5 linked regions of the Oryctolagus cuniculus genome follow. The protein of the gene in region 1 purifies or fractionates together with the protein of each later gene. This does not show direct contact. Links are inferred from orthologs where the notes say so. Each region holds a gene or a part of one and is shown in the gene's direction. Other genes may lie near its edges.

The links.
Region 2: the proteins of TNS2 (region 1) and CSK purify together in Homo sapiens (affinity purification with mass spectrometry; 6 studies listed by BioGRID and IntAct, with this or other methods). This does not show direct contact. The link is inferred for Oryctolagus cuniculus from reciprocal best matches to the Homo sapiens genes TNS2 and CSK.
Region 3: the proteins of TNS2 (region 1) and SNTB2 purify together in Homo sapiens (affinity purification with mass spectrometry; 4 studies listed by BioGRID and IntAct, with this or other methods). This does not show direct contact. The link is inferred for Oryctolagus cuniculus from reciprocal best matches to the Homo sapiens genes TNS2 and SNTB2.
Region 4: the proteins of TNS2 (region 1) and DTNB purify together in Homo sapiens (affinity purification with mass spectrometry; 3 studies listed by BioGRID and IntAct, with this or other methods). This does not show direct contact. The link is inferred for Oryctolagus cuniculus from reciprocal best matches to the Homo sapiens genes TNS2 and DTNB.
Region 5: the proteins of TNS2 (region 1) and DMD purify together in Homo sapiens (affinity purification with mass spectrometry; 3 studies listed by BioGRID and IntAct, with this or other methods). This does not show direct contact. The link is inferred for Oryctolagus cuniculus from reciprocal best matches to the Homo sapiens genes TNS2 and DMD.

The regions. Positions count from the first base shown.
Region 1 is NC_091442.1:56,108,855-56,114,961, forward strand, and holds the start of TNS2 (tensin-2), read left to right. Parts: upstream 1-2,226; 5' UTR 2,227-2,553; coding exon 2,554-2,832; intron 2,833-5,051; exon of another isoform or gene 5,052-5,192; coding exon of another isoform or gene 5,193-5,267; intron 5,268-6,107. UniProt on the Homo sapiens protein: Tyrosine-protein phosphatase which regulates cell motility, proliferation and muscle-response to insulin. Phosphatase activity is mediated by binding to phosphatidylinositol-3,4,5-triphosphate (PtdIns(3,4,5)P3) via the SH2 domain.
Region 2 is NC_091443.1:108,910,904-108,917,172, reverse strand, and holds the start of CSK (tyrosine-protein kinase CSK), read left to right. Parts: upstream 1-2,884; 5' UTR 2,885-3,233; intron 3,234-6,269. UniProt on the Homo sapiens protein: Non-receptor tyrosine-protein kinase that plays an important role in the regulation of cell growth, differentiation, migration and immune response.
Region 3 is NC_091449.1:52,276,911-52,283,186, forward strand, and holds the start of SNTB2 (beta-2-syntrophin), read left to right. Parts: upstream 1-2,564; 5' UTR 2,565-2,616; coding exon 2,617-3,187; intron 3,188-6,276. UniProt on the Homo sapiens protein: Adapter protein that binds to and probably organizes the subcellular localization of a variety of membrane proteins. May link various receptors to the actin cytoskeleton and the dystrophin glycoprotein complex.
Region 4 is NC_091433.1:177,084,304-177,090,249, forward strand, and holds the start of DTNB (dystrobrevin beta), read left to right. Parts: upstream 1-2,169; 5' UTR 2,170-2,457; intron 2,458-5,946.
Region 5 is NC_091453.1:18,963,267-18,968,748, reverse strand, and holds part of DMD (dystrophin), read left to right. Parts: intron 1-3,675; coding exon 3,676-3,855; intron 3,856-4,159; coding exon 4,160-4,288; intron 4,289-5,482. UniProt on the Homo sapiens protein: Anchors the extracellular matrix to the cytoskeleton via F-actin. Ligand for dystroglycan.

The DNA.
Region 1 (6,107 bases):
CAAATGGCCAAAGACAAGCTGGGCATTGTTGGAAGGCAGGCAGGGGGTTAGGACAGTGGTGGATGAGCCCTAAGGTCATGCGGAGGTGGAGCACAAGGAAGCCCAGGGGACTTCAGTCTGCACTGTTGGGGACTGGGAGCTGTTAGCAAGGTCACGTTCTGGGTCAGCTGCAGCAGCTGCTTTCCCAGCTGAACTCTGGGTAGCTAGAGTTTCATCTGCCAAGATGACAGGAAAGCCTTCATGTGGGGGAGAGCTGCCCAGGCTGCCCGCAGCGGCCATAGGCTCCCCCTCTGTCCCCTCCAGGCCTTTGCCCAAAGCCACTCCTGCAGATGGGAAGTGGAGAAAGCTATGCTGAGAGAGGAACTCCCTGTGTAAGTATACTCTCAAGGAAAAGCTCAGCTCTGGCCCGGCCTCAGAGATGCGGGGCCCCTCCCAGGAGCCCGGCTGCAGGGATGGGGCCCGGACCCCCAGCCCTCTCTGCCAGCCACTTGGGTCTGCCTTGGGCTGCTTGGCCTGGGTGTCCTGGTCCACGCTGTCTATTCCCGGAACAGGGCTACGCTCGGGTCTCAGGCCCCTGAGGGTTCCAGCTGGAGCTGAGGGCGGCACCCCCCAGAGCTCCGCATCTGGTTTCTCAGGAAGTGGGGGGGCTGCACATCTGCTCCTGGGAAGCATTATTTGTCAGATCGTTTCTCAGCAACCGCCATAGCCCCCAGGGCCACCAGAGCCGCGGACTTGCCCTCCCTCCACCTCCCCCCAAAAAAGTTTGGAAGAGACCACTGCTCCCCGCCCAGCTGTAGCGACCTCTGGGACGGACAAAGCACCCTCTGTCCTCAGCCAGGAGAGCCGCCTTTCTCCCTGCTCTGCCTGGTTCCCAGCACCGGAGCCCTCCGGGTGGTCTTCCACCCCTGAGATCTGAGTGCACTGTTACGGCTATGGGGTCGCCCCAGACCACGGAGAAGGAGGAGGAGGTGCCCCCGTCAGCGGCAAGATGGGCCGCCCTCTGCCTGCTCAAGGTAAGCCGGCTTGCGTGGAGGGAGGTCCGCTCCGCCTCTCAGCCTCTGCCAGGCTTTCCCTTCCTCCTCCCCTCCCCTCGCTCTGCTGGGCTCCCCGAGGCTCTGGCTGCTTCTCAGGACGCCTGGCTGGCTCGGGCAGGCAGACCCCCGTGTGAGCACAGAGCTCAGCTGCCCATCCCCTGAGCCTCTCCCAAATCCTGGGACCCTCACAAGTTCCTCTTTGCCCTGCCACCACCGCCACCACCCCCCACCCACCGGCAGCAGCTGAATGGGAGGCTGTGGCCCCACCCCCCTCGGGAGCCAGGCCACTTCCTACCTTTAGGGAAGAGAGCCGGCCCCACTGCATGCAGCCCAGCACCTGGCCAGTGACCGCAAGGAGCTGCAGGCTCCAAAGAAATGACCAATCTCCTAGTTCAGGTGCCTCGCTGGAGGTCACAGAATGACCGCAGGCCCTTTCCTTGACTCAGCAGCCTCTGCGCTCCCGGAGCCTTCCCTAAGGCCAGCTTCTCTCAGGTCCTCCCCCACCCCCAGCCTCCACTCCGCCCTTCCAGACCCCCGTGGCACCCAGCACTGCCCTAACCTCTGCCAGGAGCAAGATGGAGGCTCCCCAGCCCCCAGCCGGCTCTGCCTGTCTCCTGGGGCCTCTTCCCGCTGCCAGAGTAGAAAGCAGTGCCCCGCCCCTCCTAATCAGAACCAGGCTCCCCGGCCTTGGCCAAAGACAGGATGAGCCCAGAGGGGCCCCAAGAGTCAGTAGTGGGCAGGCACTGGGCCTTCCGCCCTGGGCACCGGCTTCTCAGAATCCTCTCCCCGCCCCCCTGTTTTCATCATGGAAAATCTGGGGCGCGGGGGGGGGGGGGCGGTGAGGTGAGGGAGGGCCAGCGTGTGTCCGGGAGTGCTCACTGCTAAAGAACTGGGGCCTTGGAGTGACAACCGGCTCAGGGCTCTAGGACGGAGCCCCCTCCCCCCACCTTCCCCTCCAGTCCTCGGGGGTCCCTTAGCTCCCTTCCAGGAAGCTCCTAGCCCGTACTAGGTAGCATCCAGACACTGAAGACAGTGACGGACACGTGAAGCCCTTCGCAGCCATACCTGGGGGGTGGGATTGCCCCCAGAGAGCGGGGCAAGGGATGGGAGGGGCTTGAACCCCATGCGGACATCCTGGGCTGGGAGCCTCTTAGGGAGACTAGCTCACTCGGGGCAAGGTGTCCAGGGACTCGGGACACCAGCAGCATCAGGGGTCTTCAACGATGCTGGTGCCGACCCTCAGGGCCAGGCCCAATCCCACGCACTGCTGTGGCGTGGCGGGGCCGACAGGCTGTGAGCCCTCGCTTCCAGTGCCTGCTGGACCCACGTGCACCCTTCCTTCGGCATCTGCCTGCCTGCCCGGGTCGCGCCGCTGGACTCCCCGTCCCCGGGCTTCTCCCAACCCCTCTCCCCACCGCTCGGCTCCTCCTGTCCCCGACTCGCTCCCTGACCCGGCCTCTCCGCCGGGCCCTGCGTCCTCGCCTCTCAGCTCTTTGTGAGTGTGGGTTCGCGGGAGAAGATGGGGAGGAGAAGAGGGAGAGAGGAGGAGGACGAGGGGCGGGGAGCGGGCGGGACGTGGGGATTGGAGCCGGGGCGGGCGGGAGCGGGGGAGGAGAGAGCGGCCGCGGGCGCGGGGCGCGGCGGGAGCCGGAGGGAGCCCAGCCGAGCGCGGCGCGCCCGCCGCCGCCGCCTCCGCATCCCGCTCGGCGCGGACCCGGCCGCGATGGGCTGGCCCGGGGGCTCCCCCTGCTGCTGCCCCGCCCCGCCGCGCCCCCGCGCCGCCGGGCGCCCCCCGCAGGTGAGTGGCCGCGGCGCGCGGGGCGGGCGGCGGCGGCGTCTGCGTCACAGCCGTGCGGGCAGTGCCGAGGGCGGGCGCCAGGGGGCGAGGGGGTGCGGGGCGCGCGGCGGGCTGGGCCCCGCGCCCCGGACCGCGGAGGGGACGCTCGGAGGCCGTGAAGGTGACCAGGGGGCGGGGCAGGCCGCCGCGGGCCCTCGCCGCCACGCCTTCCCGCGTCCTGGCGCACACGCGGCCCGCACTCTGTGGCGCGCCCGCCGCACGAGGCGCCGTGGTCCCGGCACACACAGGCCCGCGAGCTGGGCGGGGGCGAGCAGCAGCCGCGCTCGGGCCGGCTTGGCTGCGCGTGTGTGCGCGCGCGTCCCCCCTTGCCTGCTCTGGGACACAGGCCGAGAGCGGGCCCAGGAGTGGCCCGCTCGTCGGCCAACGCGCGCCTCTGCCCTCACTCCACCAGATGCTCCGGGCACACCCGGCCACGCCGCCTGCTCCGGCGCTCCTTGCCTGGGCCTCACGCCTGCACCCGGGGCGGGCGGGCTCCCAGTCTCGCATCCAACCACAGCTATTTCCAGGAAGGGGGGTGTGGGTGGAGGGGTTTCTCCAAACAAACCCTGGGTTTGGGAGGGAGCTGGGGGCCCGGCCGGGGAGAGGCAGACAAGCTTCGGACTGTACCAGGCAGGAGGTGGGCGAGGGCCGGCCCCCCCACCTCCCCCCTCCCCGCAACAAGCTGTGGCTCCTAGGGACCTTGGCCCGGCTCCCCTGGGGGCCCTGCTCAGGGCAGATGCTGGCAGTGCCCCTGGTGGAGTGTCTTGCAGGGCCTGGGTGCAGAGACAGACCACTGGTATCAGAGGCCCTGTTCCAAGTGAGGGACTTGGGGGCCTGTGGAGGGGGCCGGGCCAGGGCCACAGGCCACAGGAGCAAAGGACAGGCAGAAATCCCACCCACTGTACCCCACCCCGCCCTGCTCAGGGCACCTTCTGCCCCTAACGGCTTGGATGCCAGACCAGGCCCAAGTGCCCACAGGGCCAGGACCTTGGAATGGCTTGTGGTACAGCCAGGGGGAGGGGCCCAGGCCTGGCCACACAGGTGCCACCTTCTGGCCAGGTACCTCCAGGGGGCCACGGTGGGCATGGGGGAATGGATAGTCTGTCCTGGAAGGTTAGAGCTCCCAGGTAGAGGCCCGGGCCGGACCCAGGCCCGGGCAGGTCCTCAGAAGTGTCCCGCAAAGTATCCAGAGCCTTCCATCTGGACGGGCATGAGGGAGGAGGAGGCCAGGCCAGGGCCCCCATGGGAGATGCCAGGGTGTGCAAATGCCGAGGAGGGGGCCCAGTCGCCCCTTCTTTCGGGTGACAGCTACCCACAAGTCCAAGGGGCTTGGGGCTTCATCCAGGGCTGAGGACCGCCCCCCACTCTGGGGGGGCATTAACCCCTTGTGTGCTAGGAAGATGACTCCCTCCACTCCGAGCCCGCATCACCACCTCCTCCTCTAGACTTCTGGGGCAGGAAGTTGGCCATGTTCCCAGCAGGGAGGCAGGAGGCCCTGGAGCAGGCTGGACTGTATTGGGAGGGGGCGCCCTGCCCAGTCCTCAGGATGCCCCGTGGGGATGGGGCAGGGTCCCTGGGCTGAAGGCCTGGCTTGCAGGGGCTTGGGAGTTGCGGTTGGGCTGGAGCGGGGAGACGGTGTGGATGGGGGGCTGGTGAGCAGCTGGCTCAGGTGGGCCTGGCCAATGTGGGGGGTGGGGGGGGTGGAGAGTGAGGGCAGCCGGCCCTTGCTTCTCTTTCTCACATCCTAACCAGCACAGCTGAGACCAGGAGGGAGCCGGGCGGCATCCACTCAGGATCCTCAGCCAGCAGGGTGCTGGCTCCCAGCTGCCCTCCCTCCCCACCGGAAGTCCCAGGAGAGTGCAGGCTGGGAGGCTGGCCAGGACACACTGTTCCCCACTGGCCCTTGAGCCCTGCCCAGAGACCTAAATTCCCACCCCGCCCTGCCCCAGCGGGGGGCCGATCCCTGAGGGCGGGCTCCCTTCCCAGATCAGGGTGCCTGGGCCGGGGGATCCCGGGGCCAGCTCCCCAGCCCTGAGCCCAAGCAGGGGAGCACCAGGTCCTGGGCTGACGCTCCCAGCGGGACAGATCCTGGGAATCTGATCTCCTGGCCTCCCCCACATCCTCCCCCCCCCCACTTCCTGGAGCTGCGACCTGCCCCCTTCCCGCCGGCACTTCCCTCCACTTCCAGGGCTGGGCTTCTCCTCACACCGCCACACAGCCTGCCCGCCGCCCAGGGGAAGCTGCGGAAGCCCCAGGCCAGGCCCCAGCATTGTTCAGGGCCCCCCAGGCCGGCCAGCCAGCACCCCAGCTAGTGGGACAGCATGAAGCCCAGCGGCCCTGTGGAGAGGCTGCTCAGAGCCCTCGGGAGGAGGGATAGCAGCCGGGCCACCAGCAGGGTAGGAGGGCCCGCGGGCTGGGCCGTGGGTGGGTGGAGGTGTGGGCGGAGGGGGAAGGGGCTGGGATTCGTGCCCCTCGAAGCTCTCTCCCTGATTTCTCAGCCCCCTGGCCCTGCCCCGCGTGCCCCTCCTCACACTGCCCTTTGCAGTGTCAGCTGCAGTAGACTGGATCCCGCTGTCCGCTTTGGCTCCTCTCTTCCCGCTCTCTGCTCTAGCCCTGGCCGGCCCGGGCCCCCAGACCTGAGCCCCAGGTATACTTCAGCGTAGGACCTCACGGGGCGCTGGCCCGGAGCTCTGGGGGCAGAGCTAAGTGGTCAGCCCAGGACTGGGCCCCAGGGAGGTGGCCAGGGACGGGGGAGCTACGGTAGTGGCAAAGGGAGGGAGGGAAGAGACGCCGGGGCTCAGGAGGGCTTTGGGAACTGGCTGCATGTTTCTCAGCATCACTGTATTTGCTGCTGATGCCAGAGAGCACCCACGGCTCCCAGGGGTCCAGGTCAGGAGCGTTCATGGACAGGCAAGAGTCCAGATCGCTGCCTGGGGCCCCGTCACCTCCTTCCCCCAAAAGTGGTCGCTCAGAACAGGAGATAATACTCCGACCTGGTGCGGGGAGTGGGGGAGGAGGCGGGAGACAAACTGTCCGCAGACACAGGATGGGAGGACACGGGACTGGGCCAGGCCTGGGCCCTAAGGGGCGTCCCAGGGTCCCTGCTCCTGTGCTGCTGGCAGGGTGGGGCCGGCCAGGGCATCTGGGCCACCCCCTCCTCTTACACTTGAACCTCCGAGTGACGCAGGGCTCACTGCAGAGGGAGGAGGCAGCCAGCCGTTTCCCCGGGGTCACGC
Region 2 (6,269 bases), on another chromosome or scaffold:
GCCCGCGGTGCAGGCAGTGGCTTCGCCCGCTGGGCCCCCTTCCCCACCACTTCCACCCCACAGCTTGGGGCGGGCGCAGGATCACACCTGGCCTCAGGGACCCCCCCCCCTGCTGTCTGCTCCGGCCCACAGACGCTGCTTCCTGTCTGTGCCACGGTTGGGTGTCCCAGTGCCGGCTCCTTCCACAGCGACCCCAGAGCCTGGGCAGAGGCTCGGTGCCGGCCAAGCCAAGGCCGAGGAGGCGGGGCCCAGAGGTGTGGGCAGGGGGAGCTGGCTGCCCGCTGAGCACCTGCTCTGCAGGAAGCAGAGGGGACTTTGCTGGAAATCTGCCTTTAATCTTGGCTTCCTGTTTTCTGCCCCAGGGGACTGCCCAGACCGTGCGAGTGTCGAGCAGTTTCACACCCGCTCTGCTTCTCTAAACTGTCATCTCGGGGGAGGGGAGGAGGCAGGGGAGGGAACCCTGGCTGCACGGTGCTCTGGCTTCTGGCCACCAACCCGGCTCTGCGTGGGCTGTGGCTCCTGAGTGCAGCCGGAAGCCGGGAGAGCTCCGCCCACGCCCCACGCCCCGCGGAGGCTCCAGCCGCTCAGCTCCCCTCTGCCCCCCACCCCACCACGCAGGGGACACGTGGGCCAGCCTGGGCAGGCCGACGTCTCCACCTTGCACAGGTGTCTCCAACACTGTCCTAGGACGAGGTGTTGCGTGTCACCCCAGCCTGGCCCTGTCTTCCCGGCAGCTCCAGCCCCAAGCGGCCAGCCCTGCACCTGCAGCCTCCCCGGCCAGAGAGGCACTGTGTGGACAGCAGTGTCGAGAGCCACCTCCCCCACTCTTCAGCTCAGGCCCTTCCCGGGGTGTGGCCCACCCTGCCTGCTCGCAGCATCCCCAGAGCAGTGTCCACCGAGTGAGTGACCGGGAGAGGCTGGGAGGCACTGACTGGGCTGTTGTAAACAGCACAGCACGGGGCAGGTGGGGGGCGGAGGAGACTTTGCTGACGGTACCCCCAGGGGCTGCGCGTGAGGAAGGCTACAACATTGGGGGTGAGGAAGGCTACAACATGTATTTCACTCTGCAGAGAAGAGGTGGAGCCAGGATTCCAACACAGGTTTGTTTGGCTCCAAAGTTCAAACCCCGGCCCCAGCGCAGTGGAAATGTCAAGTGCGTTTGGGGTCCAAGGCACCCAGGCTGGTGACCACACTGGAAGGGGAATTCCTTCTCTCCACGTCCCCCCAGGGGCTGCTTTCCCATTCCACCAGCTGACCCAGCCCCCGGGGGAGGGACGTGTCAATCACTTCCTTCCAGAAGCCTCTGCAGAGCGACAGCCTCCCCCAGGCCCAGAGGCACCCCCCCTCCATCCGCCAGCCCGGTTATCGGTCCATCTCGCCTTCAGAGGAGAGAGAAAGCAGCTAAGCCAGCGCCAGCCCCTCCACCCCCGCCAGCCCCTCCACCCGCTCTTATCTTGCTGAATCTGCACCACCTCTACTCTCGGGAGGGAGGTGCACACCTCATCTTACAAAAGAGGAAACTGGGCCCAGAGACCTTAAGTAACTAGCCCAAGGTCGCACAGCCCCAGGAGGCTGAACTCTGAGAGCTGAACCCAAATCCACACTCTTTCAACATCACCCCGCACCCATCTCTGGGTGCCTCCTCCCAGGGGTCAGAGGGCCAACCTGCCACTCCTCGGGGGGGGGGAGCAGGGGCACGGTGGTCTCCAACTCCCAGCATCATAGGTGCTCCCTCTCCCTCCTCTGGGCCCCCAAAGTCTCCATGGCCCCCTCGTGCCTTTGGTCCCTCGGGACTTTGCCAATGGGTCTGGTCCACCAGGGAGAACGCCCATCCTCCTGTCTCCCTACATCAGACCCTGGCTCCAGGGCCAGTTCCCAGAAGGTGCCCGTAAACTCCAGGTCCGCCTGCCCACGACTGAGCCCACTGCCAGCTCCTGCAGCTCCGGGCTGGCCCCCTCCCCGCCCCTCCTCCACGGCGGTGAATGATAACAGCCCGTACTTAACCGAGGGCCCACCACGTGCGCCGGCGGCTGCACGCAAAACAATTTAGACATATTAACTCATTTCCTCTCCACAAACCCCAGAGACGCACAAGCTGTTATTTCCCTCGTTTTATCAAATGCAGAGACAGACAGGTTCAGACACCGGCCCAGGGTCACTCAGCTACTGACCACTTACTCCCTCACTGTCACCTACAGGCTGAGCGTGAAGTCCAAGAGGGTCCCGGGGAGGCTGTCCGGACTCTCCCAGCCCTGTGGCTGCAGGAGCCCAGCTCCCACCGCTGCACCTGGCGCACCACCTCCACCCTTCCATCACCTCCCGCTTGGCGAGCGCCTCTGGGCCCGCCAGTCTGCCGCCCACCCTCCGAGAACCCCCGGACGGCGACCGAGCGGTCCTCCTAGGAGCCCCCCTGGCAGGGCCCGAGGAGCCTGCGCGCACCAAGGAGCGCCCCCTGCGCGAGGCGAGGGCGCGCTCTCCGTACACGGACCCGGGGCCGGCGCGCGGGCCGGGGGTGCGGCTGGGACGGACCCTCGCACGGCCAGCCCCGCGAGGCCCGGCGCGGACACACCCCCCGCGGTGTCCCCGGCGCCCGACAGGGGGCGCCGCCCGCGCCCCGCCGCGCCGGGCAGGCCCTCGCGCAGGCGCGCTGCGGCGGGCGGAGATCCGGGCCGCGCTTCCTCTCGCCGGGGCCTGCGAGCTTCCTCCCGCGGAGCACGGGCGAGCCGAGGGTGGCCGCCGCCGCCGCCGCGCCCCCCGCGCCCCCCGCCCGCCCGCCGCAGCGCGCGCGCCGCCGCCCCGGGGTCCTGCCGGGCGGGGTCCGAGCGCGCGCGCGCGCGCGCCGCCGTCGGGGCGTCCGCGGCCGCCGTCCCGCCCGCCCAGCCCTCGCCCGGCCGCCGAGCCCGCGGGGCGTGCAGCTCGCGGCCCCCGGCCCCGATCGAGCGTGCGGGGCGGGCCCCCCGGCCGCCGGCGCGACGTCCGCCCGGCGAGCCTCGGGGCGGCGCGGGGAAGCGGAACTCCGCCGGGCCGCGCGGGCCACATTGTTTGCGCCCCCTTCCGCCGCCGCCTTTCTTCGCGCCCGGCCCGGGCCGCGCGGCCGCCCCCTGCCTCCGCCGGGCCGTGCCGCCGCTCTTTGTGCCGCTCCCCCGGGGACCCCCGCCCCGCCCCTGCCCGCCGGCCGCGCGGAGCGTCCCGCAGGCCGCTGATGCCGCCCGGACCGCAGTGCCCCGCCAGAGGTGAGTGCCCGGCTGCCTGCGGCGGGGGGCGCGCGCGGGGGTGGCCCGTCCCGCTCCCGTGGCCGCCGCCGCCGCCGCGTCCACTCCCCACCCCCCACCGCCTGGGGCGCCCCATCGTTGTCGGGTTCGAATTCTCCCGGGAGCCACTGTCAGAAGCCGGCCGGGAGGGAGGGAGGGAGGGACCGCCTGCAGCCCCACAGGGCTTGTCGGGCCCCCAGCTCCGGTTGGTGGAGCTCTGGGTGGGTAGGGGGTCGGAGCCCCCCCCCCCCCGGGAGGGGAAGAGCATCGGTGTGGGCCGGAGCCTCTGCAGGTGCCCTGGCCTGCTTGCTCCTGACCCCTGCCTTGGTCCGGGCCGGAAGCCCCAGTGGACCCCTGAGTTCTGCCGGAGACCCAGGTCCAGGGCCTGAACCTGTCACTCTCAGAGATCTCTGACCCTTGGGTGGGGACATGGGCAGGGCTTGGGTCTTGGGTGGAGGTGACACCAGGCCATAGCCGTGCCTCCACCTCCTGCCACCTGGCTCGGCCCATTCTCCCAGGTTCCTCAGGGCCGGGGCCAGGTGTCAGGAAGGGGTGTGTCCAGCCACCAGAGCCTGGGAGCTTAACTGGGGCTCCCTTGTCGGCCTGCGGGGACCTGAGGCTCAGCAGGGCAGAGAGGGGGACAGCTGCCCCTGGCCTCTGGTGGAACGATGAGGCGGGCAGTGCTTGCCCCCAGCTCAGAGGCCGGGGCTGCTGCTGGTGGGGGGAAGCCCTGGGTGCACCCTCGCCCACTAAGGACGCAGGCCCAGCCCCAGGGGGCCTTGTGGGGTGAGCACGTGCTCCCCTGAGGAGGGCGAGAGGGGGCTTCCGGCCCAGCCCTGAGATTTCCCCCTGGTGCTTGGGGCTGGGTGCCCCCTGCAGGGGATGAGTTCTGAGGGGTGGGGGGGTCAGCCCCCACCCGGGCCTCCCCACGCCTCCAGCGGCTCTGTCTGTGCAGGAGCCTGGGAGCCCCCTCCCCGTTGGCAGCGCCTTGGCATGGGAACTCTGGGGGAGCGGGAACACCTGAGGGGCCCGGGCCCTGGGGTCCCAGCAGAAACCCGGCAGAGGAGGGAGGGTGTGGGGGGCCGCCCTTGCTTTAGGGTTCTGCCAGTTGCTGGGACACACACAGAGGAGACCCGGCCAGGTCCTGGAGCCAGAGCCTGCCCGGAGAGGCCTGGGGGGTTTTGAGGGGCAGGCCAGGGCCCCCGCCTGTGTGGAGAGGACGGCTTCGGGATGTGGTTTCTGTTCGGTGACCTCGGGGCCGCCCTGGCTCTCAGAAGTGGCCGCTCTTCCCTCTGCGTTGCACCAGGAGCCTCCTGCCTCCGCCGAGGCCGAGCCACGCGTGGTGCCCCGAGCCCGAGAGGGAGAGGGGCCAGGTTCAGTGCCCCCGCCCCGGAGTGGAGCCGGCAGAGCCTGGGGCGGGTGGCGGGTGCAGCTCTGTGCCATGCCTCTTGAGGACTTTCGGAACCCTGACACGTGTCCCCAAAGGGCAGAGGCGTTGAGTCTGGGGAAGAGGCCACAGAGCGGTGTCCCCACGGGTCTATGCCGTGGCAGAAGTGGCCCGGGCGCCTGGGCCCGAGTGGGGGTCAGATGGGGTCCGCGGAGGCGGTTCTGGGGTCACTGTACAAAAGTTACGGGTGTGCTAGTTTTCCCAACTTAGAAAGCAACAACCAGCACCAAAGCCAAGCAGAAAAACTTAGAAAACAGCAGAAATCCCCCAAGCTTTCCTGGGGGGCCGCAGGCCTCGTCCGCCGGCCACTGCTGATGCTGCGTTTGAGCGTTTTCCCAGGGGGCCTCGCGCTCCGGGAGACTTTGCCTCAGAAAGCTGCAGAGGGCCGCGGGCACCTCGGGCCAGGCCTGTGCGGTGCCGCCCCTCTGTCCCTGGGGTCATCCCTGTGTGTCCCAAGAGCAGCCAAGAGAGGAGCTGGCCGACGCGGGTGCCAGGCCCGGCCACGCCACGTCGGCCAGAGTGGATGGACGATGGACAGGTCCCTGACCCCCGGAGCCAGGGTCCTTTATGTAATGGGGATGCTGGCACAGCCCGTTTGCTCTCCTCACCCCTCACGGGGAGGGGGTGCAGGGAGGGCCCCAGTCATGGGCAGAGGTGGGGGGGTCCCTACCCAGAGAGCCCCCTCCAGCCGGAGGGTCTTGGCTACTTTGGCCAGTGCCCTGCCCAGCTCGCCTGCCTTCCCCTCCCCGTCACCCTGCGATTGGCTGGCCCAGGCCCGGGGCTGGCCCTGGGGAGACGGCCGCTGGTTGGTGTCCGGCCTGACCCCACCCATCAGCCTTCCGGCCTCGCAGCATCCGAGCTGAGTGCCCAGTGGCCTCCTGCCTCCTGGCTTGGGCGAGGCCAGCGCAGCCCTCCCTTGGACACAGACGCCTCCTGAGCCTGAGGCTCAGACAAGGATCCGGGCACCTCCACGGCCCCACCCTGCCAGCCTGGTCTTCCCAGCCTGTCCCAAGGCCGAGGGGCCGACTGTGGGGGCGGCCGCCTCCTCCTCCTCCTCCTCCTCCACAGGTGTGCCTCACCTGAGTGTGCGGGTGAGGGAGGTGGCGGCCAGCCTCTGCCTGGCCTTCCCTGGGCCCAAGACCCCATAGCCGCACGGGAGCTAACCCAGGCAGGGTCCCACGGGCAGGTGCGTGCGGGACCTGCACCCTGGCTGCCAGGCTTTGGCTTCCGGCTTGGTGCAAGGGAAGCGGGCATCGCTGCCGCCCTCCGGCCTCACGGCTCAGGCTGCGGTGAGGTCACAGGGTGGGGTCCACCCCAAGACGCTGGCCTGGCTGCCGCGAGCCCTCTGGGTATTTCTCAGTTCCCTCTGCCCTCATCGGGGACAGGATGGGTGGAGGAGAGGGCCGCCCCCCACGCCCAGCAGGGAGCACTCCCTCCTCCCTCCTCCCTCCCCTCTCGGTCCCTTCATCCAAGGGCTGGAAATAGAATCCGCTAACTAATGATTAAAGTCAAATTCAGACCTAAAAATAAAGAGCTGGGGAAGGAGAAGCGGTGTGCTCCCTGCGTGGCTG
Region 3 (6,276 bases), on another chromosome or scaffold:
AATTGGAGCCAGAAGCCAGGAACTTCTTCCAGGTCTTCCGCATGGGAACAAGGGCCCAAACACTTGGGCCGTCTTCCGCTACTTTCCTAGATGCATTAGCAGGGAGCTAGCTGGCTAAGAAGTAGAGAAGCTGAGTTTCAAACCAACACTAATATGAGATACCAGCATTATTGGTGGTGACTTTACCTGCCATACTACAACACCAGGCCCTAGTTGGGGATTTTTTTTTTAATGGAAATAATCCAAATACCGATCTCCATTACCTTCTCCTAGGATTAAATATTTTGTTACATAACTTGCTTTCTTAAGTAAGTACTCTCACTTACTATTGGTTGGAAGATCTGTAACTTCCTTCAACTCTATTAACAAAAAGGTCTTAATACTCTAAAAATTTCCAGTACTTCCTTTTGCTAATAAAGGTGTCCTCAAATGTGCAACCTTTGGGTGATTACATATGCAGAGGTGTTAAAAATAACGCTCAAACTCCAAAGAATGCACTGCCAAATGCTCTCTAATAAGCAAAAATTTCCCATAACTCAGGTCTCCTGGGGCTCATGCCTCCGCTGGCGCACAGCCAGAAATGTCTGTGACTGCAGGTGCACTTGGGCACGCCGGGACCTCTAGAACAGTGAGCTGACTCCAGTGCCGCTGATTTAGGAGAGGGCTGGAAGGTTGAGCTTTTGCTGACATTTGCAACTTGGAAAAGCCTGCTCCACTAATTGCAGTGGAGATTCTGTCATCATGATTTCTTTGGTAAGGTACTTTTCTCATCTTTAATTCTTCATCTGGACTCTGGATGCTTCCGAGTCTCTATTTATACTGTTTAACTCCTGGTGCAGGAAGCTCTTTGTAAGCTTCTGCTTGCACATGCACGTGCACTTGCAGAATGATGCATGGCTATGGCCTACGAGCCTCAACGTGTACATCCTGAACAAGCAAGAAACCAATGCCCTTTACAGGGACGGCTGCACACTGCTGTTCTCACAGCCTGTTGCTGCCTAAATGAGAGTAGGGATTTTGCTTTTGCTGCTGAAGGAAAGTTAAAGAACATCTTGACCTCATAAATTTCCCGAGAGTTTCCGATTTCAGCAGTGTGTTTCTGGGCCCTCAGAGTCCAAAGTTTGCATTACAGTTCCTGAGGCTGCCCATCTGTACTTGCCCCAACACGAGACCATGGCCTCTAGGATAGGACAGTCCCCTCTACAAAGTCAGGTCCAAATTCCTGGATATTTGATATGAGGCTTTTCACATTCAAATCCAGACACACCCACTGAGCCTGTGCTCTCTTCACATTGGAATTCTGTCATCTTCCTGAGTACCCATGTGCGATGATTACGTTTATGTGTCAACTTGACTGAGCTAAGGGATGCCTGGATGGCTGGCGGAACATTATTTCTGGGTGTGTCTGTGTGGGTGTTTCTGGAACAGATTAGTGTGTGAGTGCTGAACTGAATAAAGATTCCCCTTAGCAATGTGGGCAGGTATCCTCCAATCAGGTGAGGGCCTGAACAGAACAGAGGGAGGGTGCATGCACACTGCCGGAGCTGGGGCTTGCTTAGTTCCTCACGGTTTCCTGCCCCTATTTCTTAGACCAACACTGAAACCACACCTCCAGGCCCCACCCCGTTCTGGGGGCCTGCCGTCTCAGCCTTACAGCATTGGTTTCCAGGTGCTCAGTGGTGGGATTGGAACCGCACCATCAACTTCCCTGGGGCTCTAGTTTGCAGTGGCAGATCCTGGTACTCGGGGTCGCCGTCTAGGGACAGTTCCTCAGGATGAATCTCTAGTGTGTCTGTATATCCTACTGAAGTGTTGCTCTGGAGAAGCCTGGCTGATACATTGTGCAAACATCTTTGAAGCCCGCCTGGTATGGCCCCAGGACTTAAGAAGACAGCGTCCCCCTCTAATTACAGGCAAGAAAACGGGTGATTACGAAGCAGGGTGACACCGTCTTGGAATCATGCCTCTAGACCATGCATATGCTGTTCCATCTGCTCCAGCTATCACCCTCCATTGTCAGCCTCTGTGATGCGGACCCCGGGACCAAACGGAGGCCCTTTTTAGTCTGCTCCGGGGGAGTTTTCTATACATCACTTAACCACATAGTATCACAGCTCGTTGGGTTGGCTCTGCATTTTCCTTCCCCACCAGACCGCAAGCTTCAGGTGTGGTATATTTGATTCAGCTTATGGCCAGCGCCACAGAAGGGGCCCGAGTGCACAGCTCACACGAACAGAGTAAACCAGAGCAAGAATGAACGTGCCACTTAGTCTGGCAGGCTTGCAAGGTGCTTCTCCAAGCTGCTTTTACTTTCTGTGCCTACGCAGCTCCCGTGCATTGCGCGGGAGAGGTCAGCAGTTTGGGGGCCTGTAGGGAACGCAATGGGAGGAGAGTGTGAGATGGAGCCTCCCCTACCCCCCACCGGGGGCTACCCACGTCCCAGGAGCTGTAAGGCGCAGGACAGCCTCTTAACCTCCCGGAAGCCGCTCCGCCGGCCTCGCCCCGCCCCGCCCGGGAGGTGGGCGTGTCCCTCATGAATAATGCATCGCCGCGGGGGAGGGGCCGGGCCCGCCCCCTCGGGCGGGAAGGGGGAAGCGCTGAGGCTGCCTGACTGGAATGAGGGTAGCTGCGGCGGCGGGAGCGGGGCCGGCCATGGCGGTGTGGACGCGGGCCACTAAAGCGGGGCTGGTGGAGCTGCTCCTGAGGGAGCGCTGGGTCCGAGTGGTGGCCGAGCTGAGCGGGGAGAGCCTGAGCCTGACCGGTGACGCCGCGGGAGCCGACCCCGAGCCCGCTCTGGGGCCGGCAGCGGCCGCCTTCAACGGCCTCCCGAACGGCGGCGGCGCCGGCGACTCGCTGCCTGGGAGCCCGAGCCGCGGCCTGGGGTCCCCGAGCCCGCCGGCGCCGCCGCGGAGCCCCGCGGGCGAGGCGGGCGCGTCGCCGCCCGTGCGCCGGGTGCGGGTGGTGAAGCAGGAGGCGGGCGGCCTGGGCATCAGCATCAAGGGCGGCCGCGAGAACCGGATGCCGATCCTCATCTCCAAGATCTTCCCGGGGCTGGCGGCCGACCAGAGCCGGGCTCTGCGGCTGGGCGACGCCATCCTGTCGGTGAACGGCACGGACCTGCGCCAGGCCACCCACGACCAGGCCGTGCAGGCGCTGAAGCGCGCGGGCAAGGAGGTGCTGCTGGAGGGTGAGCGGGGCCGGCTGTCCGGGCGGGCGGGCGGGCGGGGGCGGCCTGGGCCCGGCCGGGCTGCGCCGTCCGGCGCTCACTTTGTTTCTGCCCCCTTGGCAAGGTTGACCCAGCCCCTCCTCCTATCCCTCGGAGCCGGTGTCCTGGGACTCTTGAGTGTCGAAAAGCTGATGCTGCTTGCAGGAAAAGTTGGGCCGGCCGCCGCCGACGTGTGGCTTGCAGCCCCTGGGCAGGACTACTCGGCGGAGATGGAGCCGAAGGCGGCGGCGCTAAGCTGGCGCTAAGAGCTGCGGCGGGACCCGACGCGGCGACTCCGCAGCTCTGCGTGTGTGCCCGCTCAGAAGTGCCGGCCTGGCGCTTTCGGCTCTCACCTCCGGGCTCCCCTGGGCGGGCGGGTCTATTAAAGAAATAAAAATAAAACCCAGCTCCATCGATGCCAGCAGTTGTGCTTGGGCAAGCCACCAAAACGTTAGTTAATTTATGGGAATTTAACCCATCGTTGGCTCTCAACAATAACCGGCGGAGATCACAGAACTCCATTGAAGCCGGAGAGCTGAAGCAGCAAGTCTTGTGTGGTTAATGAGCCTTGTTTAACCGTGGAGGCTCACGTGTTTCAACACTCACTGCCAACCAGAGTTTTGCCCCTTTTGCAAGAGAGCGCTGCCAGCTTCCTAGCGCTCACAGGCGTGCTGTTCCGAGACTATTAGGCTTTGTCGAAGCGACTTGAAATGGCAAAGCACAAAACAGCGTTTAAACAGTCTTCGGTCTGTGTGTGATCTATAGGTTGGAGCTTTTGATGATGCGTTTATGGAGCTAGGGCAGAATGAATTCTCTCCGGCTTCATGGATGTTGGACTTGGTATTTTTACACGAAATTGTAAATGAGAAGTCAGTTGCTTCCCTCAAAAATTGAACTGTTGATTCAGTCCTTGAGAAGCGTGTGTTGTTGACTGCGTGGAAGAGAGGAAAAATGACGTTCCTGTCCCTGTTTGGTCTCTGGTTGGGGAAATAATAGAAAAATGCTGAACTTTGGGGGAGAAAAAAAATCAACTTTTTAATTTTGTGGTGCAAACTATATAGGAATGCCACAGGAATGCGAAGTCAGCAGATCATTAATGGAAGTGCGATTGGTCAGGGAGGACCCTTTCAAGTGTCTGAGTTTTGCGCTGGGTCTCTGAGGAAGTGATGGACGTGTACTGGCAGAGATTAGTCAGGAGGATATATTTGGCAGTGTAAGAGAGCGGGGGAAGGCTGGGATGAGGGGGACCAGTCGACAAATCGAGTCTTAACTTTGGCAAAATGACTTTTGCTTTTTTACAGATCTGCTTGCAAAGATTTGGAAAAAATATTAAGTTTGCAAGTAAATGATTTAAAATGTGCTCTAGTTGTGAAATTCCAGTGTCCCACCTTTTTAATGCCCTATTTATAAATTTTATTTATATCTCATTTGGAGGTGGGGCTAGACACAGTTTGGAAATTCGAATTAATAAAAGGAGCAGAATGGTCGGTTGTGTGTAAAAAAATCATCCTAAATATGTATCTTAAAATGAGCCTAGCTAAGCATTTGGTTATAAATTCTTAGAACCACAATATTGAATTTAGTGCTATTTATGTAGTACTCACTGGAACTAGGCAAACAGTTCAACCTCTTACTCTGTATTGCAAAAACCAAAACAATGGTTTTTATTTAGATGTAGTTTGAACTTGAAATTCATACTAGTAAAATGAAAACCACTTAGTAAATTCTTCTCAGTATTCATTAGTCTAAACTAGGCTACATGTGGTTTTAGCAAGAGTGTTTATAGATTGCAGTATAATTAATATACTTATTAAATGCCTTTTCACCTAATATGTAGACTATTTTATTTTCCCATTTTGTATAAGACAAGCAGTTTCTGATGGAACAGAGACATAGCCCACCTAAGACATAAAAAGGCCCAGCCCCTAGGGTCTGGGCCCTCTGCCACGTGTTCAGTCTGTGTGTGCACTGGCAGTTGGTTGCCCACCTCTGCAGATTTGTTTTCTCTGAATAAATTCGGCCTGGCTGTGAGTTTGTATTCTGTCTCTTCTCTGTTTTTCTTACATTTGGGTGCCCTGTGTGAGGAGGCACCAATCTGCCCTCTTTTTCTTATAATTTCTGTCTCTAGGTATGGGGAAGTCAGTATGGTGGGTTTATGCTGAATTCTTAAACCAAGGCGTATAAAAATAGAATTACTCAAAATATGCAAAATCACACACAAACACAAACCATGGTTTGAGTGAATCAGTCAAACATTGTTTAAGTCTCAGAGCCGCTGTCCCATCCACGTGGGCTATTTTTAAGAGACAGATTTTATTCTTAGTCCTTCAAGTTTTTAAGCTCCACTCTCCTTCTGTTAGCTGCCTTAGAAGTCAGTGATGCCCTTTTGGGGTGTGGCAGGGCATTTCAGGCATGCTCTTGCCACCCCCATGCCAAGGACAGCTATGTAGTCTCTGTTTGCCTGGGGTGAGGGAACAGAGCTCAAGGGTTCTATTTTATCTCAGGGATTTGTAAGGATTGCTCACTCTTTCACTCTTTCATGTTTATTCAGCTTTCCTCACGGGCTAGAGACATTGCAGATACCGGATTCTTGCCCTCAGGAAGTTCAGAGTTGAAGGGGAGGGGTAAGAGGGAGAGAAGGCAGGGGCAGGTTGGTGGTGAGAGAATGCAGACAAATAAAGAACTGTTACAGTGAAGTCTGGAGAGGACACAGCATAAAGGAGGGGGAGGTGTATATGGGTTCTCGATGGGAGTAGCTCCTAGTGGGAGGTTGTGGGTGCCTGGAAGTTGAAGCTGAGCCTTCTCCTAAGAAGGGAGCAGTGGGTCCAGTAAAGACACAGAAGTGCAAGACACCGAGACGGTGCTGTATCCAGCAGGGGTCGAATAGGAGCCAGGGCTTTGTGGTCAGAAGCAGGTTTCTGGCCAGTGGTTTGTAACCCCTAGGCAAGTTACTTAATCTTGCTCAAGCTCAGCTTCCTCGAAATACCAGGATGGTGTTAATACCTCCCTCAAAGCGTTGTTACTCACTTGACAATGTATGTATCCAACAGCAGCAAGGAAAGTCTGGGTGA
Region 4 (5,946 bases), on another chromosome or scaffold:
CTTCAGTGTACACAGAACCCGGCGCAGTGGGGGAGCTGCTGATGTGCGTGGGGTGGGTGAAATGGTCCAGGGAGAACACGTGGGGGAGATGAGCAAGGACAAAGCCCTGGAGGCTGAGGAGTGGGTACAGGGTGGAGAAAGAAGTCATGTCACAAAGTCAAGGGAGTTTCAAAACCAGGAAGGTGCTACTGGGTGTTCTGGTAGCTGTGGGCATGGAGAAGGCTGCATCCTACATTGGAGTGCTTGGCTGTGAGCCCTGCCTGTACTTTTATTTTTTTAAAGATTTATTTATTTATTTGAAAGTCAGAGTTACACAGAGAGAGGAGAGGCAGTGAGAGAGAGAGAGAGAGAGAGAGAGAGGTCTTCCATCTGCTGGTTCACTCCCCAGTTGGCCGCAACGGCCGTAGCTTCACCAATCTGAAGCCAGGAGCCAGGAGCTTCTTCCAGGTCTCTGACGCGGGTGCAGGGGCCCAAGGACTTGGGCCATCCTCTGCTGCCTTCCCATGCACATTAGCGGGGAGCTGGATCAGAAGTGGTTCAGCCAGGACTGAACCTGTGCCCATATGGGATGCTGGCGCTGCAGGCAGCAGCTTAACCCACGGAAGCTACAGTGCGGGCCCCTGCTCTACTCAGGAGTCCAGCTTCCCGCTGATGTGCACCCTGGGAGGCAGCAGGTGAGGGCTCAAGCACTTGGGTCCTTGCCTCCTGTACTGGAGACTTGGATTGCATTTCTGCCTCCTGGCTTTGGCCTGGCCCTGCTCTTGCTGTTGAGAGCATCTGGGGAATGAATCAGCAGATGGGCTCTCTTTCTCTAATACTTTTGAAAGAAAGGCATGTGGCATTTGGGGTCAAAGAAGCCATTTGTGACTGGGAGCAGTGCAGCGACACGGTGGGGTGTGGGTCAGGGGAGCGAGAACCTGCTGAGGAAGTCGAGATGAGTACAGATGACTTTTAAGATATTTGTGGGGAAAAAATGGAGAGGGAGTAGTAACACAGCAGAATCTAGTAGGACAGAAGGTTTCACTGCTTTTTCTCTTAAACCATCTGCTTTTAAAAAACATTTTGATTTATTTTAAATTTCTTTTTAATTTGAAAGGCAGCGATGGAGGGCACCTTCTGTTTCCTGGTTCACTCCCCAAATCCTGTAACAGCCAGGCCAGCCCCAACCCAGGAACGCCCTCTCCTGATTCCCACTTGAGTGGCGCGGACCCACGGACTCGGGCCCTGGTACTGCTGCCCAGGGTGCACGTCAGGGGGGAGGTGTAGGAGAGGGAGCTAAGACTTGGAGCAGGCACTCCCATCCACCGGCCAGCCCAGAGGGACCTTCAGGCTAGCTCACTTACTGAATTACCTTGGTTTCAGTGAATGAGCAAACACACCAAGCTGCATTTACATATTTATTTTTCGTGATTTACACATTTTTTTTTCTCCAAAGGAGGGAGCCAATGTTTCACCCTTTCAACGCCTACCACACTGTGAGTGCTCAGTAAAAACGAACAAACGGGCTGGTGTGATGGCACCGCGGGTACAGCCTCAGCCTGAGTCCCGGCTGCTCCACTTCCCATCCAGCTCTCTGCTGTGGCTTGGGAAAGCAGTGGAGGATGACCCAAGTCCTTGGGCCCCTGCACAAGCGTGGGAGACCTGGAAGAAGCTCCTGGCTCCTGCCTGGCCCAGCCCCAGCCCCTTGCGACCATCTGGGGAGTGAACCAGCGGGTGGAAGACTCTCTCTTGCTCTCTGCAACTTTCAAATAAATGCATCTTAAAAAAAAGAAAAAACTCCCACAGTTCTTTATGAACCCGGCGTTTGCGCTCGCGTCCCTTAGTTGCGGGTGGCCGGTCCCTTCGCGGCTGCAGAGGGAGGGGCGGGCGCCAGGCGAGCTCAGGGCGGCAGCGGAGACCCTCACACCACACGCCCTCTCCCGCCCCCTGCTCCACAGAGCTGCGACGCCTAGGATGCCCGTGCGCAGCAGCCAGCTCCGAGCCGCGGCCCCCAACCAGCCCCGCTCCAGTGCTCGCGCGCGCTCGCCGCTCGGTTCCGGACGGGGCGGGGCGGGGGCGGGAACTCGCCCCGCCCCCGCCCGCCCGCGCGGCGGAAGCCCCGCCTCCGCCCGCGCGCTCCCCGGCGGCGCGCGCCCGCCCCTGCGCCTCGCGCCCTCGCCCTCGCCCTCGCCCTCGCCCTCGCGCCGGGGGCGGGCTCGCTGCGCGTGCCGGGCAGGAGGCGGCGCGGGCCGGCGCGGAGGACGTCCGCCGCGGGGGCGGCTCCGGGGCCTGAACAGCAGCCGCCGCCGCCGCCGCTGCCGCAGTCTCAGGCGAGGGGGGCCGGGCAGGAGACGCGGAGGAGGCTGCGGCCGCGCGGGCCCTCGCCGACGCCCCCAGCTTCGAGCCAGGTGGGGAGCCCGCGGCGGCTGCGGCGGCCCGGCCGGGGAGGGGCGCTGAGGCGGGTGCCGGGCGAGGCAGGTGAGGCGGGCAGGCCCGGGCGGAGGGAGGCTTCCTCGCCGCTTCCCGCACGCCCTGCTCCCTGAGGCGCCTCGGCGAGAACCTGCCGGCCCGGGCCTGCGCGGGGGCTGCGGGCGCGACACAAAGCGGCGGGCGCCCCGCGCCCCGGGTCCGGACTGGTCGGAGCCGCGCGCGCGGCGGCTTGCGGAGTGCGGCGGGAAGGGCCGGGCGGCGCGCGGCGGGGCTGCGGGGGCATCCCGAGGGTCCCGCGTCGAGGGCAGGAGCGGGTCCGGCAGACTTGGGAAGAGAAAGGAAGTTCCCCTGCTTCCCGACGCGAGCGCAGACCCGCGGCCGCCCCCGACTCTGTCCGCCGAGGCAGCCCCGGGCGCTGGGTCGGGCCGGGGGCCGGGGGCAGGGGGCGTCCCCCGAGCGCTCGGTGTGGGCCCGGGCGCGTCCCCGGCGGCGGCGCGGGCTGGCGCGTGCTGGGGACTCGCCCTGGTCCTGGGACCTCGGCTGGGGGGTGGGGGTCCCTGCGGTCCCGCCCTCGGCCGCGGTTTGGACCCGTCACCTCCAGCCTGGTCTTTGGGCTCCCGGGTTGCAGAGCGGAGTTGCCCGGGAGGGGGTCGTGCCGGCGGGGGCTCGGCTCTTGGTGTCTGCTGTGCCGCGCACAGGATTTCTGCTCACGGTGGGAAATGAGACTTCGAACCAATAGAATTTCAACTTGCCTTTTAATTTGCGTCTTTGCTTGTTTCCTTATATAAAAAATAGGGTGGTCAGCCTTGCAGAGGGCTCCCTCTTTTTCCTGGAGGGCCTTTGAACTTAAGGGGCAGCCGGCAGGTGTCGGCGAGTTCTTGTTTTGGGGCGCCTCATTTCTGCAATTCTGGGCACCTTCTTCCAGACTTTCCTGACTGTATCTTATCTTATGGATGCATTTATTTTAAAATTAACTTTGCCGATGTACAGTTTGCATATATATGATAAAAGGCGCATTCTTCGTGTACACTTGGATATTTGGAAAACCATAGGCACTTTGTAGCCGCTGTCCCGGGCAAGGTATGGAAATTTCCAGCTCCCCGGAGAGTTGCCTCCTGCGGCTCTGCAGCCCCTCCCTCCCCCTTTTCCCTTACTTCTGATTACACAAGCGCGGAGCCTCGGCGTCTGCTTGTGCCAGCTGCGTGCTGCCAGGCTTCGGGCTGCGGTTCCCGTGCAGGCAGCCCCCGCAGTGTGTGCCGCGCGTGGGGTGCTGTGGCTGGGACGCACACCTGCACAGGCGGAATAGGAGGCCCCCGGCGAGTCCTTTCTCCACAGAGCCCACTGTCTGGTGTGGTTCTTCCAGATCTTTCTCTGCGTTTTCACGCACACACGGGCACTACAGAGAACATGCGCTCTCTCCCCTGCCCTAATGACATCCTGGTGCTCCCGTCGTTTTGCGACTTGTTTTCCACTGAGAGCATGTTTTTGAGACTTTCCCATGGTGGAGTGTTAGGGGTCTTCTGAGTGTCTCCATGGCCTCGTGTCTTCCCGCTTGCCTTCGGGTCTTGCACAGAAGTGCAATTTATTAATCGTTTTTGCGTCAGTGACCGTTGTGGCTGTGAATGAAAGAGAAATGCTGGGTCGCAGGGGTCCACATTTCAGATGGCAGTGGATGGAGGTTTACCAGGCTGCTGCTCCGGACTGTGGCCCGTTGATTTCTCGCTGCTCTGTGTAGTGTGAAGTCAGTCTGTGCCCTTCTTTCACCAGGAACACTTAGGCTGCTTTGGATTGGAACCTTTGGCCGATGCATCCTGCTTGGCTTTCCCTTTCCAGGCGTTTTAAGTTTTAATGTGATATTCATGGAGGATTTCCTTTAAATGGCTTGTCTTTTGAGTGTGTGGGTCTAGTTTAAGAAACCTTTCTCTGCCTCAGAGTATGAATTGTGTATTCCTGTATTTTCTTCTAAGAGTTTTAAAAAGTTTCGCTTTTCAAATGGAATCTATTTCTATGTGGGGTATAATGTTGAAACATAATTTGCTTTCCAGTTTGGCTAACCAGCTTTTCTGTACCTTTTCCTTTTTTTTTTTTTTTTAATTCAAAGATTTATTTCTTTGTTTGAGAGGCAGAATTATAGAGAGGCAGAGGCAGAGAGAGAGGTCTTCCATCTGCTGGTTCACTCCTCTGGTGGCAGCAACGGCCGGAACTGTGCCGATCTGAAGGTAGGAGCTAGGAGCTTCTTCTGAGTCTCCCACACAGGTGCAGGGGCCCAAGGACTTGGGCCATCTTGTACTGCTTTCCCAGGCCACAGCAGAGAGCTGGATCAGAAGTGGAGCAGCTGGGACTCAAACCAGAGCCCATATGGGATGCCAGCACTGCAGGTGGCAGCTTTACCTGCCACACCATAGTGCTAGCCCCTCCATTTTTTATGACAAAAAAATCTACATAAACCTCACCATTTCTTTTTCTTTTTCTTTTTTTTTTTTGACAGGCAGAATGGACAGAGAGAGAGACAGAGAGAAAGGTCTTCCTTTGCCGTTGGTTCACCCTCCAATTGCCGCCGCAGCCGGCGCGCTACGGCCGGCGCACCGCGCTGATCCGATGACAGGAGCCAGGTGCTTATCCTGGTCTCCCATGGGGTGCAGGGCCCAAGCACCTGGGCCATCCTCCACTGCACTCCCTGGCCACAGCAGAGAGCTGGCCTGGAAGAGGGGCAACCGGGACAGAATCCGGCGCCCCAACCGGGACTAGAACCCGGTGTGCCGGCGCCGCTAGGTGGAGGATTAGCCTAGTGAGCCGCGGCGCCGGCGAAACCTCACCATTTCAACTTTCTTTTTTTTCCAAGTGATTTACTCGTTTCAAAGGCAGGATGACAGAGGAGGGACAGACAGAGGGAGGTCTTCCATCCTCTGGTTCACTCCCCAAATGGCTGGTCTGGCCCACCCTGGAGCCAGGAGCTAGGAACTCCAGCCTGGTCCCCCATGTTGGTGTCAGGGTCTCAGGCACTTGGGCTGTCTTCTGCTGCCTTCCCAGGCATATTAGCAGGGAGCGGGATTGAAAGCAGGGCGACTGGAACCCAGCTGGTGCTTCATTATAGGCTGCCAGCACAATGAAGTGGTGCAGCAATTAACCCACTGCACCACGGTGCCACCGCACCCTTACCTGGTTTATGTGTGCAGTTCTGCGGCATCAGCTACATTCAGCTGTTGTGCAGTCAGCAGCATCATCAGTCTCCAGAACTTGTTTATCTTATTGAAACTCTGTACCCATTAAACAAGAGTTCCCCGTTCCCCTCTTTCCATGGCCTCTGCTAGCCACCGTTCTACTTTCTGTCTCTAGGAATCTATTCTGTGTACCTCAATATAAGTGGAATCATATGATATTTGTCGCTTTGTGTTTGGTTTATTTCACTTACTTTGTACCTATTGTAGCATATGTCACCATTTCATTTTTCAGGGCTGAGTAGTATTCCGTTGCATGTGTGCACCACATTTTGCTTAATCATTCACCCATTGATGGGCATTTGGGTTGTTTGCACCC
Region 5 (5,482 bases), on another chromosome or scaffold:
ATTGACAGCAAATGTTTTATTTAAAATCATGAAAGCAAGTGTTCAATATTTATATCATACTGGAGGTATCAAATATTACAAATTAAACATATGAAGATAGAGACTTTGATAGTGATTTATATTTAAACTGAAAAATACTCACATCAGACGTTTTTCCTATGTCAGCAAAACCTTAGAGCTAATGACTCAAGTGTAGTTCTTATTCGGCTATTCTTAAGTCTCTTGAAAGTGGACTTATGATCATGTCATACATCAAAATAATACTGGAACCTGAAAAGACACTAGAAATTAGTTGCTGCTTCCTTTTTTCCATTAAACGCATGAAATATCATTGGACATTAAATGTTTTCTCTTATGAAGAGGTTTTTCAAATGGGGATACAGAACACGGGAGTGGCCATTCTAAGAAAATGCCACTGGATAGCTATGCACTCCCACCTTTATTTAGAGGGTACAAGCAAGTCTATGAGCCAGCAGGCACTTAGGCAAGGTTATACATCAACTTAAGGATCTGGGAAAAGGAATTCAGTCTGGTGGTCTAATAAAGGGATTAGAGCTGTGATGTAAATCTTCAGAGACAGGCCCATTTAGATGCTCCTGTAAATGTACAAATTCCCGGCCAGTGCCACTGCTCACTAGGCTAATCTGCCTGAGGCACCTGCACTCCAGGTTCTAGTCCTGGTCAGGGCATCGGATTCTGTCCCGGTTGCTCCTCTTCCAGTCCAGCTCTCTGCTGTGGCCCGGGAGTTCAGTGGAAGATGGCCCAAGTGCTGGGGCCCTGCACCCACATGGGAGACCAGGAGAAGCACCTGGCTCCTGGCTTCAGATCAGCGCAGTGCGCCAGCCACAGCAGCCATTGGGGGATGAACCAACGGAAAAGGAAAACCTTTTTCTCTGTCTCTCTCTCACTGTCCACTCTGCCTGTCAAACAGTTTTTTTTTTTTTTAAATTCCCAAAAATATTCCAGGTACCAATTTATGTCCATTAGCCCCCTGCTGCTCCCATTATCACATTGCTTTGGGGCAGGTGTACCCATCCCTGGCCTGTTTTGGTGTGAGCAGAAATTGCAGCAATGCCTCGAATTTCAGGTGGTGTACCCCACCAGAGGCATTTATGCAGTATCTCTACACCCTTGAAAATTCAGTGGAGGATTTTGGTAGATAATTGACATAAAATAATTTTCTATGATCCAGGAATTTTTTGAAACATTTCCTAAATTCAAAACTTCCCCTGATCCTTTCTGAAGTTTGGAATTTTCCATTAGCTTTAACTGCATTGCCTGGCATGTAAAAAAAAAAAAAAAGTAAAGATTTTGGTACATAACTTTTTATTTTTTTAACAGGCAGAGTGGACAGTGAGAGAGAGGGATGAAGAGAAAGGTCTTCCTTTGCCGTTGGTTCACCCTCCAATGGCCGCCGTGGCCGGCGTGCTGCGGCCGGCGCACCGCGCTGATCCGAAGGCAGGAGCCAGGTGCTTCTCCTGGTCTCCCATGGGGTGCAGGGCCCATCCTCCACTGCACTCTCTGGGCCACAGCAGAGAGCTGGCCTGGAAGAGGGGCAACCAGGACAGAATCCAGCGCCCCAACCGGGACTAGAACCCGGTGTGCCGGCGCCGCAAGGCGGAGGATTAGCCTAGTGAGCGCAGTGCCAGCCATAATAACTTTTTATATTCTTGCAGAAAAGGATTAATGGTCTGATCCATTTAAATGTTTATTCATTTTTATTTATTTTAAAGAGAATGATTGATTGATTGATTCTGTCCATTGGCTCATTCACCAAATGCCTGCAGCAACCACTGCTGGGCCGGGCCAAAGCCAGGAACCAGAACTTCTGTCTGGCTCTTCCATGTGGGTGGTAGGAACTCAGTACTTGAGCCAGCATCTTGTGCCTCCCAGCCACATTAGCTTGAATGTGGACTGGAATATGGACACAAGACTTGATCACTGGCACTCCAACATGGAATGTGGAAGTCCCAAGAGACATCTTAACCTGCTGTGCCACAATATTGCATGCACAGTATAATAGTTAGAGACATGTTCAAAGATAATTAGGGACCTCAAAGTAAATTAAATTTTTACTTAATAAGGTGTTACCTTTGTGAACAAATCAACTGAAATTATAAGCCACTAGCCTGAAATATAAGAAATAGACAATGTTCATTTGTACTTATTTTTATTTCTTTGACTAGCCCATATAAGCTTTCAAAGGACAGGACATTTCTCTGCTGCTCTACCATTTTATCCACATTGTCTCGAACAAAGATCAAATTTTGTATAATAAAAGTAGTATAGGGAACAGATGAAGGATTTAAAGTGCTGAAATTTATTGCAAGTCCATTCACAAGTCAACTTCCAAAGAGGCTGTTTCTACCCAAAGGAGACATTTCTTATCATTTTCCAAAAACACATTGCATGGAAATAAATACCCTGCTACAAGAGTTTCTGCCATCTAGTAGAAGCTTAATAAACATTTATGCTTGCTGTATGAACAGTTTTAATGAACTGCTAAGCTCACTCATGTGCAACAAATGACACCGATGTTACAAATAACTCTAGGTATAGTAGCTAACCTGTAACCGAAATTCAACTTTTTCTTGTTTATAAATGTTGAAAGCAAACTCTAATAATAGCAGTAGCTGTGACTTGGTCACCGATAGAAATGACAGATATTTCATATCATGTTCCAGTCACTGAGTATACTTGGTATACAGAAGCAACGAGTGTATTCCTCGCTACTTTGAAATTATCCTATTTAGTGACCTGATGCTAGATCCTGTTAGTTAATATGCTGGGAAACAAAACATGTATTACTACATCACAAAAATTTTTAGAAACACATATATTATATTTTGACTTAATTGGTCTTATTTCAACCCATGTATATTTTCTTTTATGCTTTTGTAGGCATTAAGATAAGAAGGGGTCATTAAGCTTAATCAGATACCAGAGATCCATGATACAAAAAGGCTAAAATTTGATGTAGATAGACAGTGGTGCCATACTTTCTAAGTTTTTTAAAAAGCAATAGAATGGCCGGCACCGCGGCTCACTAGGCTAAGCCTCCACCTAGCGGTGCCGGCACACCGGGTTCTAGTCCCAGTTGGGGCGCCGGATTCTGTCCTGGTTGCCCCTCTTCCAGGCCAGCTCTCTGCTGTGGCCAGGGAGTGCAGTGGAGGATGGCCCAAGTGCTTGGGCCCTGCACCCACAAGGGAGACCAGGAGAAGCACCTGGCTCCTGGCTTCGGATCAGCGTGATGTGCCGGCCGCGGTGGCCATTGGAGGGTGAGCCAACGGCAAAAAGGAAGACCTTTCTCTCCATCTCTCTCTCTCACTGTCCACTCTGCCTGTCAAAAAAAAAAAAAAAAAAGCAATGGAATGTCAACCTTTAACCACGACATGTACAAGATAAATATATTTAGTTGGGCAATACATTTGTTTAGCAATTAAATATGTGCACTCAAAGATAAATAATTAAATTAACCACATTTGTGTATACATATATGCTCAACAATGAAACTGCATTTCATATTCTTTGATTTTTATGGTTTATAAACACATTGTTGTAGGTTTAAACCTTTGTAAAATCTAACCAGAGTGACCATACACACTGCCATTTCACAACCATTTTATCTTAAGGCTACAAAATATAACTTTAATCTCAATGCTGTTCTTTTCACAGGCTACTCAGAAAGAAGTAGAGAAACAGAAGGCTCACTTGAAGAGTGTCATAGAGCTAGGAGAAGCCTTGAAAACAGTTTTGGGCAAGAAGGAGACCTTGGTGGAAGATAAACTCAGTCTTCTGAATAGTAACTGGGTAGCTGTCACTTCCCGAGCAGAAGAATGGCTCAACCTTCTCTTGGTAAGAGGAGACACTGGAAGATTTTTGATCCCTCTCCATCAAAAAAAAATGTGTAAACATTCACTGAGATCCTATATGAAAATTCGTCAAATCCACATATACCCTGCTCTAAATTCATTGTCCATAACTAATTTTAATATGTTTTTCTCTATGTGTTATATTTTACGTGAATGTTCTACTTAAAAGTAATTTAAATTATGATACATATGTATTTTTGTCTTTTTAGTCTTGTAGAGAGTAGAAAACAGTCCTTTAAGAATGTTTTCTAACCAATAATGTCATTACACGTCTCTGTACATTTAAGGAATACCAGAAACACATGGAAACCTTTGACCAGAATGTAGATCACATCACAAAATGGATCATTCAGGCTGATACACTTTTGGATGAATCTGAGAAAAAGAAACCCCAGCAAAAAGAAGACGTGCTTAAGGTAGCAAATACAATATTTTGAAAAGTAATTTTCAAACTGTGCAACACCTGTGTCAATCATCTATGTCCTAGAAGATAACGAGGACTTTTTAATAAGAGTAATCTCTCTTCTCTCCCCTCACCCTCTCTTCTGTTCTTCCTTTTTTATGTGAATAATGACCCTCAGTAGTTCTGTAATCTGATTATCTGTTCAAATTCACCTCTCAGTTAATTATACCCAATTTAAAAGCTCCTCAAAATGGGATTCTAGGATTTATTTTTGTATCATATCACAAAGATCTGCCTATTTTAATAGTACCACTATGATCTGTGTCTAGTCCAAAGAACTTTCCCAACATCACACCTGCAGCCTATCTGAGAAATACCAAAAGTACAATCATGTGGATATTTTGCATATGAAATATCCAAATCTTATTACACGTTGAGAATCCATAATCCCAAATTCTGAAATCAGAACTGGTTCAAAATCCAAAATATTTTAATCTCTGACGTGATGCCACAAGTGGAGAATTTCGCACCATGAAGCTTTGTTTCATGCACAAAATTATTAAAATATTATATAAGATCATTATACTTTATATATAAAACATATAACATAAATGAATCTCATGTTTAGATTTGGGTCCCATCCTCAACATATGTCAGTATGCTAATGGTCCACAATCTAAAGATAACAAAAGTCCAAAGCCTCTCCCACACCAAGCATCCTTAATGTATAATTATTCATAATGTTGGGCTTGTGTAACATTTAATTTTTTTCTTTTCAACTGTGTGCAAATTAAACTTGGACTTAAATTCTCTCTTTTTGCATTGAATGTAATTAGGATATCTTAAGATTTCTCTCTCAAAGGCAAGTTAATTTTTCCTCTTAAAATAATTTCAGTAGCAGAATATGAGAGATATAATGTACAAGTGTGTCTTATTGATACTACATTGTCTCCATTTGGTGACTTCTCTCTTTTCAACTAGACCCAGAGAGAAGAATTTTAAGAAATCTCTCTTAATGTTTCCTTACTGGGTTTTGCTGAAATTTTTGTTAAGTTTTTACCAGTGGGTTATTATTTGAAGAACACACAAAAAGTATAGTTTCTAAATATAAATTTCATTTTTTATTTTTGTCACTGACATTGTGCACATATTTTAATTTATTTTCATTAAAAATGTAGGTGCATATAAGGCTGTTCCCAAAACACAT